2 linked regions of the Cricetulus griseus genome follow. The main gene of each other region encodes a partner of the protein of the gene in region 2 in a complex. Links are inferred from orthologs where the notes say so. Each region holds a gene or a part of one and is shown on either strand. Other genes may lie near its edges.

Region 1 (4,544 bases), on a different chromosome or scaffold from region 2:
GGAAGCCAGGAAGAGCTGCTATGTGGATTCTGGGGATGGAACCGGGTCCTCTAAACCAGTGAGCCATCTCTCCAGCTTCCACCTCCACTTTTATAGAAATGGACTCTCAAAGATGCCCCCATCCTAACCCTGTAAACCTTTGAGACCTCACTTGAAAAGGAATTTTGCATGCGTGACTGAATTAACAGAGATTAAGATGGAGGTGGATTTATAAAACAAGTTTTAGAGGAGAGGGAATGACTGGAAAGGATGCAGGTGGCCTTGGGCTATTTATTTATTTATTTAGTTTTAATTTTCATTGGTGTTTGCCTGCGTGTATGTTTGTGTGAAGGTGTCAGATGTCCTGGAACTGGAGTTACAGACAGTTGTGAGCTAACATGTGGGTGGGTGCTAGGAATTGAATCTACCTCCTTTGGAAGCATAGTCAGTGCTCTTAAACTTTGAGCCATCTCTCCAGCCCCAACACCATGGCTTTAACCTGATATTTCTGATCTACAAACTATAAAATGATAAATGTTTTATTTAAGCCATTAAATGTATTGCAGTGGAGGCCAGGTGGGGCAAGCACAGCCTCCTCACTTGAGGGAAAAACAGATGGGGTCTGTGCAGGTTGGAGGCTAGCCTAGTGCATACATTAAGTTTTCAGGACAGTTAAAGCTACATAGCAAAAATAAAAGAGAAAGAAAAATGTATCTCGAAAACATAAATTTAAAACTGTAATTGCTGTTGGGGAAACCTAACCATCTCACTATGCTCTCTATTCCACTCTCTTTCCTTTTAGCCTCAAATCATCCTAAGTTAGAATTTTAAAATCCAGCCTACATTCTCAGAACCATCTAGTGGCTTCCTAGCTCCTTGGGTTTGATTCCAAAACACCACTTGCTGTTTTCTCTGTCAGTCCTGGTATCTTCTGTCTTGTCTCTTAACCTTGTGTCTCAGTCATCCATACCCCAACTTAAAACTTTTTGAGGTTTGGTTTCTGATTCCTAAATGCTATGCCACTTAACTACGCTCACAGACTTGTAATTTATTCTTCAATGTTATCCTTCAATGGGGCTGGAGAGGCTCAGTAGCTAGAGCACTTGCTACTCCAGTAGAGCACACTGCTTCAGGTCCCAGCACCTACATGGACGCTTCCCACCACTGGGCATTCCAGTTCCAGGGCACATATACATACATGCAAGCAAACACAGAAACTAAAAATAAATCTTAAAAAAAAATTAAGACTGTCCCAAAAGAGAAATCTTTTTTAATTAATTAATTAATTAATTAATTAATTTCACATCCAAACCAGAGTTTCCCCTCCCTCCTCTTCCTCTCATTCCCTCCCCTGCCCCCCCATCTTAACCCCCCAAATCCACACCTCTGTTTCTGTTCAGAAAGGGGCAAGCCTCCCTTGGGTATCAACAGAGGTTGGCATAACAAGTTTCATTAATATTAAGCACCTTCCTTGTATTAAGTAAAGTTGGGCAAGGCAAGGAATAGGTTCCCAAGAACCAGTCAACGTGTTAGGGACAGCCTCTGCTCCCACTGTTAGAAGTCCCACAAGTAGACCAAGCTACACAACTGTCACAGATATATAGAGGGCCTAGGTCAGTTCCATGCAAGCTCCTTGGTTGTTGTTTCTGAGTCTGTGATTTCCTATCAACCCAGGTTAGTTGTTTCTGTGGGTTTTCATGTAATGTCCTTGACCCCTCTGGCTCCTACAATCTTTCCTCCTTCTCTTCACCAGGATTCCCTGAGCTCCATCTAATGTTTGGCTGTGGGTCTCTGCATCTGTTTCTATCAGTTACTGGATGAAGGCTCTCTGATGATGGGGTAATCGCTAATCTGATCACAGGACACACATTGAGGGAGTGAGGAGTAATGTGACAGTCGCCCCAGCACCCCAGATTTCTTTTAGAGATCTCCCTGGGGGTGGGTGGGAATGGGAATGAGAAATAGCATCCTGAGCACTCCATCCTAACATGCAAGCTACACCAGATGTGCTAAAAAGAGAAAAAAATGAGGCAGTTAATTGGTTGGAAGATTACTTCCACCCAGGTCCAGGCTCCACTGGCTACATCATGATGCCCCCCCACCCCACCCCAAGGGTTCAGCTGAAGAGAGGCCTCCCTCTTGGGACACTTGGGCAACTGTCACCCTATTGCCCTATACCCCTTCACTTCCTCAATGTGTGTCCTTGGCACCAAATTAAATACATAGGTTAGTATTGACGTTTGCTCCCAAGGCTAGCACTTGTGCGTTGTTTGTGGCTGCATACCCAACAGCTGAGACTGTGCCCCGCACAAATTAAGACAGGTGAGGATTTTTAGAATGCTAAAGCCATTGTTTATTTTAAAAGATGAACAGAGCCACAGATTGATGTAAAAGATAAACATGAATCCAGAACCTTGGCCACAAACATGGGTAGACTTTATGAAAACCGCAAGACTATGAAGAAAGAAAATTCTGGAGCTGCAAAACCTCCAAAACCATTATTTCTTAATAAAGAACGCAATGCAGAATGTCAGCCTTCTGGGCATTTCTTCCTGAAACAGCCGCACCTAAGAGGACTTGGCAAATGAACAATTTGCTGTCCTAAAAACATGATAAAATAAAGCCCCCGTGTTCTGACGTTAGCACCTCCGGATTCCCATCCACCACAGGGAAAGCAGAAGGAGGACGGACGCCAGGGTCCACCCTCTCGGCTTGGGTCGGCGGGCCTCAAGGACACGCGCGCAGCCACTAGCGCCTACGCCCACCCGGTAGCTGTGCGGCGGTCACGCTGCTCCGGGATCTCGGAGCGGAGCCGGCGGAGACACCAACCTGACACTGCGGAGCAGTGAGACAGAGGCACGCGGGTCACTGCGGTCCGCGGGCGTCGCTCTGGAGCCGGTCCCCGACCTGCCTCCTCAGGACCCGCACCCGTGACCCACACGGGCTCAACGCCTCTCACCTCTGGCAACCTTCCCGGTTCAGAGGCAATGCTGAGAGCCCGCGGAAGACATCCGGAAGCGACGAATTGTCCCAGCCTGATTCCGCCCACCAGATTGGATGTCGGAACTACATACCCCATGAGGCACTGTGCGGCCACCCCGCCCCACCGGAAGGAGAGTCGCCGAGGTGGGGGAGGAGCCACAAAAGGGATTGTGGGAGAAAGGCTTCTTCCTTTCCTCTGGTGGCAGCCATCAGGTAGGCAGGTCGATCCATATTTGCGTTTCTATCCGTCACGAATCGCGCTAGTCTTCAGCCATCCGGCCCTGGCGGCTCTGCCGCCGCGGAGCTGCTTCTCCCCACGAGCGTTCAGTCAGGATGCGGGGTGGAGAGGGCGCGAAGACGCAGCCACCCGGGAGGCTTGAGGGGAGACGCGATGGCGGCAGGATCCGAGCTGGGCCTGAAGGAGGCGCGGGACTCAGGCATGGAGGCCTGGCCAGGCCGGCCGCGTGGGGCGAAGCTTTCCGGGTTTTAGTCTCGCCGGCGGTGGCCTTCACAACCCTGCGGCCAGCCTTGCTGCCTCCCCGAGCCCGGGCTATCGGTCCAGCCGAATCGGCAGCTGCGCCCTGCCGCCTGTGCGGGACCGTTCTCATTCTCTGTGGAAGGTGGGGCGCCGGGACGGACGGCCCAGTTCTCATCACTGCCTGACAGCGATCGCTTTTCCAATGTGCTTCCTCTCAAAGGTGAGCCAAGATGGGTGCATACAAGTACATCCAGGAGCTATGGAGGAAGAAGCAGTCCGACGTGATGCGCTTTTTGCTGAGGGTCCGTTGCTGGCAATACCGCCAGCTTTCTGCGCTGCACAGGGCTCCACGCCCCACCCGGCCTGATAAAGCGCGAAGGCTGGGGTACAAGGCCAAACAAGGTGCGTGATGTCCGATACCACTGCCCCAGAAAAGTCCCGCATGTCCCCACCCCACCCCCGGTAACGGGAAGCATCGGGAAAGTCTCACCTGTTGGTTTTGTGTGTGTGTACAGGTTATGTCATATACAGGATTCGTGTCCGCCGTGGTGGCCGCAAACGCCCAGTTCCTAAGGGTGCAACTTACGGCAAGCCTGTCCATCATGGTGTTAACCAGCTAAAGTTTGCCAGAAGCCTTCAGTCTGTTGCTGAGGTAAATAGATTGATGTACCTACCAGTTGAATTGACAACCCATTACGGGTGGCGGCTAGAAATGGGACAACGCAGTAGACCTTCACTGGGTGGGTATAAGGTGGGGCTGGAGGTGTTTTGTTTACTTAGCCTTGGCAAAGAGCATCTATTATCAAAACTCTGTTACTGTTTGGTGCTTAAGTATACGCTGAAAGGGCTTTTTTGTCTTAATGAACCAGGACCTGCAGAACTAAAAGCTTTTGAAGGCAGTAAATGCAGTTTTTCTTTTGGGTTGCTAAGCTGTGTTCTGCTGTAGGAGACCCCTTTCCAAAAGCCGGAAGCTTTTGACTCTTGTATAAGACCATGTGTTTGATCCCAATTACTAACGAGATCTTGGGCAGTACTCAACTCCATGCCTAGTGTAACATGGACAGGGAGAATGAGAGGGAATGATGTGTTTCTGTCTGCAGATCTC
Region 2 (3,813 bases):
TGTCTCTTCCCTCTTCACCAAAAGCCCATGAGAGGGGTCTGTCACAGGTTTGAGTGGTCACCAACTCATGCTATCTAGCTAATCTGGACTAAGTATTCTGGTAAAGTCCATGTCTAAACACTTCCTTGCAAACACAGTCCCTTTTCTGCTCTCAGCCTCCCTGGGCTTCTTGAAGCACCCAGTACTGCTAACTGCTTCTGCACCACCTACTCTGACCTTGGTGTCTAGGAATGACCTCTAATGACTCTATGTTGGTCCTTTTCCACAACCCTGACTTTACTTGGTGATAGCCCCTCATTGCTTTTCTCTTAAGGATGTCATGAATTCCATTCTTGGCCCTAGCTTGCAAACTGAAAAGCTTCATGCAATATCCCTGGATGATGATGTACTACTCTGTAGCCACATTTGCAAACTGTTAATTGGGTCAGTTGAAGATTCATATACAGTAATAGGGAATAAAAGAGATTTTTAACTACCCTTCATCTCAGGGGTAACATCTTAGATATACAGTTCAATACCACAACCAGAAAATGGACATTAACATAGCCCACTAATAAATTGGTATGCACCAGTTTTATACATTTATATGTGCTTAGTTTCATGAAAATCTGCCACACTTATAGTGACCTGTTCACTTTTCAGACTCATATTCCAAGGCTTAGATTGGGTGCTTTTCATTTATATCAGTGGCAGAGGAGGAAATACAGTAGCCAAGTCCTAACAATCTCCACAGACTTGTCTGCCACAGGAACACATCCCAAGTGGGGGCAAGTAAGCTCCCAGCTTTCTTCATGAGGTGAATACTCCATGAGCTCCTTTAAAGCCTACCCTCCTTGCTGTGTCTAGCTTAATTATTCCCTATGGGAAGTTCTGAGGATGCTACCAGCCCAGTATTGTCCTATCTCTCCCACCAAATGTAAAACTTCTTGAAGATTGAAAAAGGAGCCCCCCCTTTTTTTTTTGCATTCTATGGGTATGAGGCAAGAGATTTTCTGTAATACAAAACCATGTGAATAATTTAAGATGGGAAAAAGAAGAGAGGAGGAAAAAATAACAGGAATAAAGAGGAAGTAACAGGGAAGGCAATTTGCCCTCAGAGACCCTATAAACTGGGACTTCAACAAGTAGATTCAAAACAAGCATGGACAAGACTACAATCTTACCTCTTCCTGCCCATAAGATTGTATATTTATAGACATACGCACCCTCTTCCACAGTCAGTAGATTCCCCAGGTCTGCTGATGAATGGTACTGGACCGGCTCTGAGTTTCTCACATTTGCCAGAGGCAGGAAGGGGTCATAATCCGTGGATGACAAGTCAGCCAAGGTTAGAGTGTAGTGACTTTGCTGTGTGTATGTGCTTGAGCCACAGACACAGCAGTGCAGAACCTGAGGAGAACAGACAGGAATGGTATGCCAACACCTCCTGACCCCTGACAAACTGTCCAGTCTCCACAGTACTTTTGAGACAGGACTCCTACTTAGGAACATGTCAAAGTATGGGGTTGTTTCCAATCTTAAATATCTTTTTGCTATAAGCAAGTCAGTAACAATACCTACATTCTCAGGCCAAACGGAGCCCAAGTGAAAAGGTTTATGTTCTTGTGTGATTGCACACACCTCAGTCCGTCACTCTCCAAAAGTAACACAGGTGGAAGGAACCAGCCCAGGAGATGAAAGACAGCTGTGGGAAAGCCCTCATGGTTGAGGGCAGGGTGACCACAACCTGAGTCTAAATAAGTACAACGCATGAACCGAAGAATTATATGAAATAATTTAATATGATTTTGAAAACATAATTAAATAAAAGTAAACTGAAAACAGATTTTAAAGTCTCTCACTTCTCACAAAGTGAGATTTCTTAACTCCTATCCTAAGGATTTTTTTCCTTTCATGTTCTTTTAGTTTTGATTTGGTTCTGGTCTTGAGAAAGGATTTCATTATATAACCTAGGCAGCCTTGAACTCAAGGCAATCCTTTTGCCCGTTGCTTCCAAGTGCTGGGATTATAAGCATGTACCACCACACCTTCCTCTTGAGGTTTCTTTAAGGCAAATAAAGTACCAGAAGCATTATTTTTTTTCTTACTTTCCTACAAACAGATCTTTGGATGCTGCAGACCCTCCTACATATAAACAGTCCATTTTGAAATTAAGTAGACAGAGATCATGTGCCATGAAGACTGGGGTCATTCTGATCAAACAGCAGTTGTTTAAAGATGACAGTCATGTGGAAATGTATATATCTTCACCTTGGCAACTACTTGCTTTCTACAACTGTATGTGTTCTGCTTGTTCATTAATTATTCATTTCTTTCCAAATACTTAACCTTCCACAGGTCCTTTTCAGAAGGCACAAATACATAAATGTACAACATATACAACATTTTGGTAATTTTTAACCTGTAGGTCCGCTGTCAATGCCCAAGGCTTAGAGGAGACTCACCCTGTAGATATAATCCAGCAAGGGAGCCCGGGGTGGGTGCAGCTCCTCCAGGACTGCTGTGGACACAGGGTGGAGAAGGGCATTCACAGGCAGTGCCATGCACCAGTCCAAGAGGCAGAGGAGCAAGGACACAATAAACTAGAAGAAGAAACATAACCAGAATTTCACTCTACGGCCCTTTGGACCAACTGCATGTAAAAATAAACAGAATTGTCCCTGCTCAATATTCAATAGACATGCAAATGCAGGGTTAGTATGTAAACAAAAATGGCTTTCATAGGAAAGAATGTTAAAGCCACCATATAAGGATGTAATAAATGATACCATCATCAGTAATGTTAGTTACCATTCTGTCTTACACTTAAAAATTACTGTGGGGAAAGTTACCGAACATGTCACTTACCTTTTTATCTGTTTCCACTGAGGAGTACTCTGCACTTGGTAAAAGAAATGCAATTGTGGCCACAAGGATCTGCATAAAAGATAAAACCCAGTCAAGTAGACCATGATAGTTTGGAAGCCATATGCTAAGGATCCCAAATTGACCTTGCAACTAAACAGCTTGGGACCTACTCACTGGATGATGATAGAACACTGAGGGCCAGTGGTAGGAGATTTGAAAATAACGATCATGTAATGGTTTCTATGTCTTTAGTGGGAGACTGAGACCTCATGGCAAGGAATAGTTCTTTCTATAGTCACATAATATCTACTATTAGTCTACTAATTAGTCTACTAAATATCTACTAATATTATTATTAGTAAAGTGAAAAAAAAGTTTTCAAAAATAATTATGAAAATAATTTGCTATTACAAATTAGCATTGGTTTCCACCTCCTGCTCCCACATCACAGCATGCCATTCATTCTCACAGGTATCCTGTCTGGATAATTACAGGGTGACACTAAACCCAACTTTACATTATGAAGCAGAGTAAAAGGTCTATTTCACTCTAGGTCACTTCAGGTCAAAAACCACTTGTGACTCTTGATGTGATTCTGAGAGAACAAAGTGATCTCAACCAATGAAGTCTGTCTAGGGCTGGGAAGAAATGAATCTGTATCACTTCTTCTCTCTCCTTGCCATCTGTCATGGGGACAAATCAAATTTTCTCAGAGGCTCCACTAGATGGGTAAGGAACAGGGCTTGCTTGAAGAAGTTTGGTTATAAAAACTGCCAAGCACAGGTGTGTAGGTACCTATGAGTTAGTTCCTGCTCCGTTCTGAGCAAAGACCCCTTGGCTGTAGCAGACCTCTGAGAAGCTGTGGTTGAGTACTTCCTGTTCCTCCTGCCTCCTCTCCTGGCCACATCCCTCTCAGAGGTTAATACTGCACTGATCTCATTACTGCTGAGTAACCATGCCACAGCA

What was found.
Region 1: the proteins of Ralgapa2 (region 2) and Nkiras1 are in contact, whole or in part, in a crystal structure (PDB 9QU1), measured with the Homo sapiens proteins. The link is inferred for Cricetulus griseus from reciprocal best matches to the Homo sapiens genes RALGAPA2 and NKIRAS1. Residues at the interface, in NP_065076.2 of Homo sapiens: Pro20, Lys21, Tyr51, Ser52, Gln53, Phe56, Tyr59, Glu60, Ile63, Arg99, Phe102, Arg103, Trp104, His105, Tyr106, Gln107, Ser108, Lys185, Ile186, Tyr187, Pro188, Glu189; in NP_001364280.1 of Homo sapiens: Lys6, Glu22, Leu24, Leu25, Tyr26, Glu34, Met39, Glu40, Asp41, Val42, Tyr43, Met44, Ala45, Ser46, Val47, Glu48, Lys54, Gln56, His58, Tyr60, His74, Tyr75, Ser77, Phe78, Lys108, Thr162.

The regions. Positions count from the first base shown.
Region 1 is NW_023276807.1:175,377,174-175,381,717, reverse strand, and holds the start of Nkiras1 (NF-kappa-B inhibitor-interacting Ras-like protein 1), read right to left. Parts: upstream 3,026-4,544; 5' UTR 2,939-3,025; exon of another isoform or gene 2,809-2,938; intron 1-2,808. Other genes in the region: Rpl15 (60S ribosomal protein L15), read left to right, coding at 3,670-3,841, 3,955-4,091. UniProt on the Homo sapiens protein: Atypical Ras-like protein that acts as a potent regulator of NF-kappa-B activity by preventing the degradation of NF-kappa-B inhibitor beta (NFKBIB) by most signals, explaining why NFKBIB is more resistant to degradation.
Region 2 is NC_048599.1:32,658,664-32,662,476, reverse strand, and holds part of Ralgapa2 (ral GTPase-activating protein subunit alpha-2), read right to left. Parts: intron 2,917-3,813; coding exon 2,848-2,916; intron 2,583-2,847; coding exon 2,445-2,582; intron 1,390-2,444; coding exon 1,206-1,389; intron 1-1,205.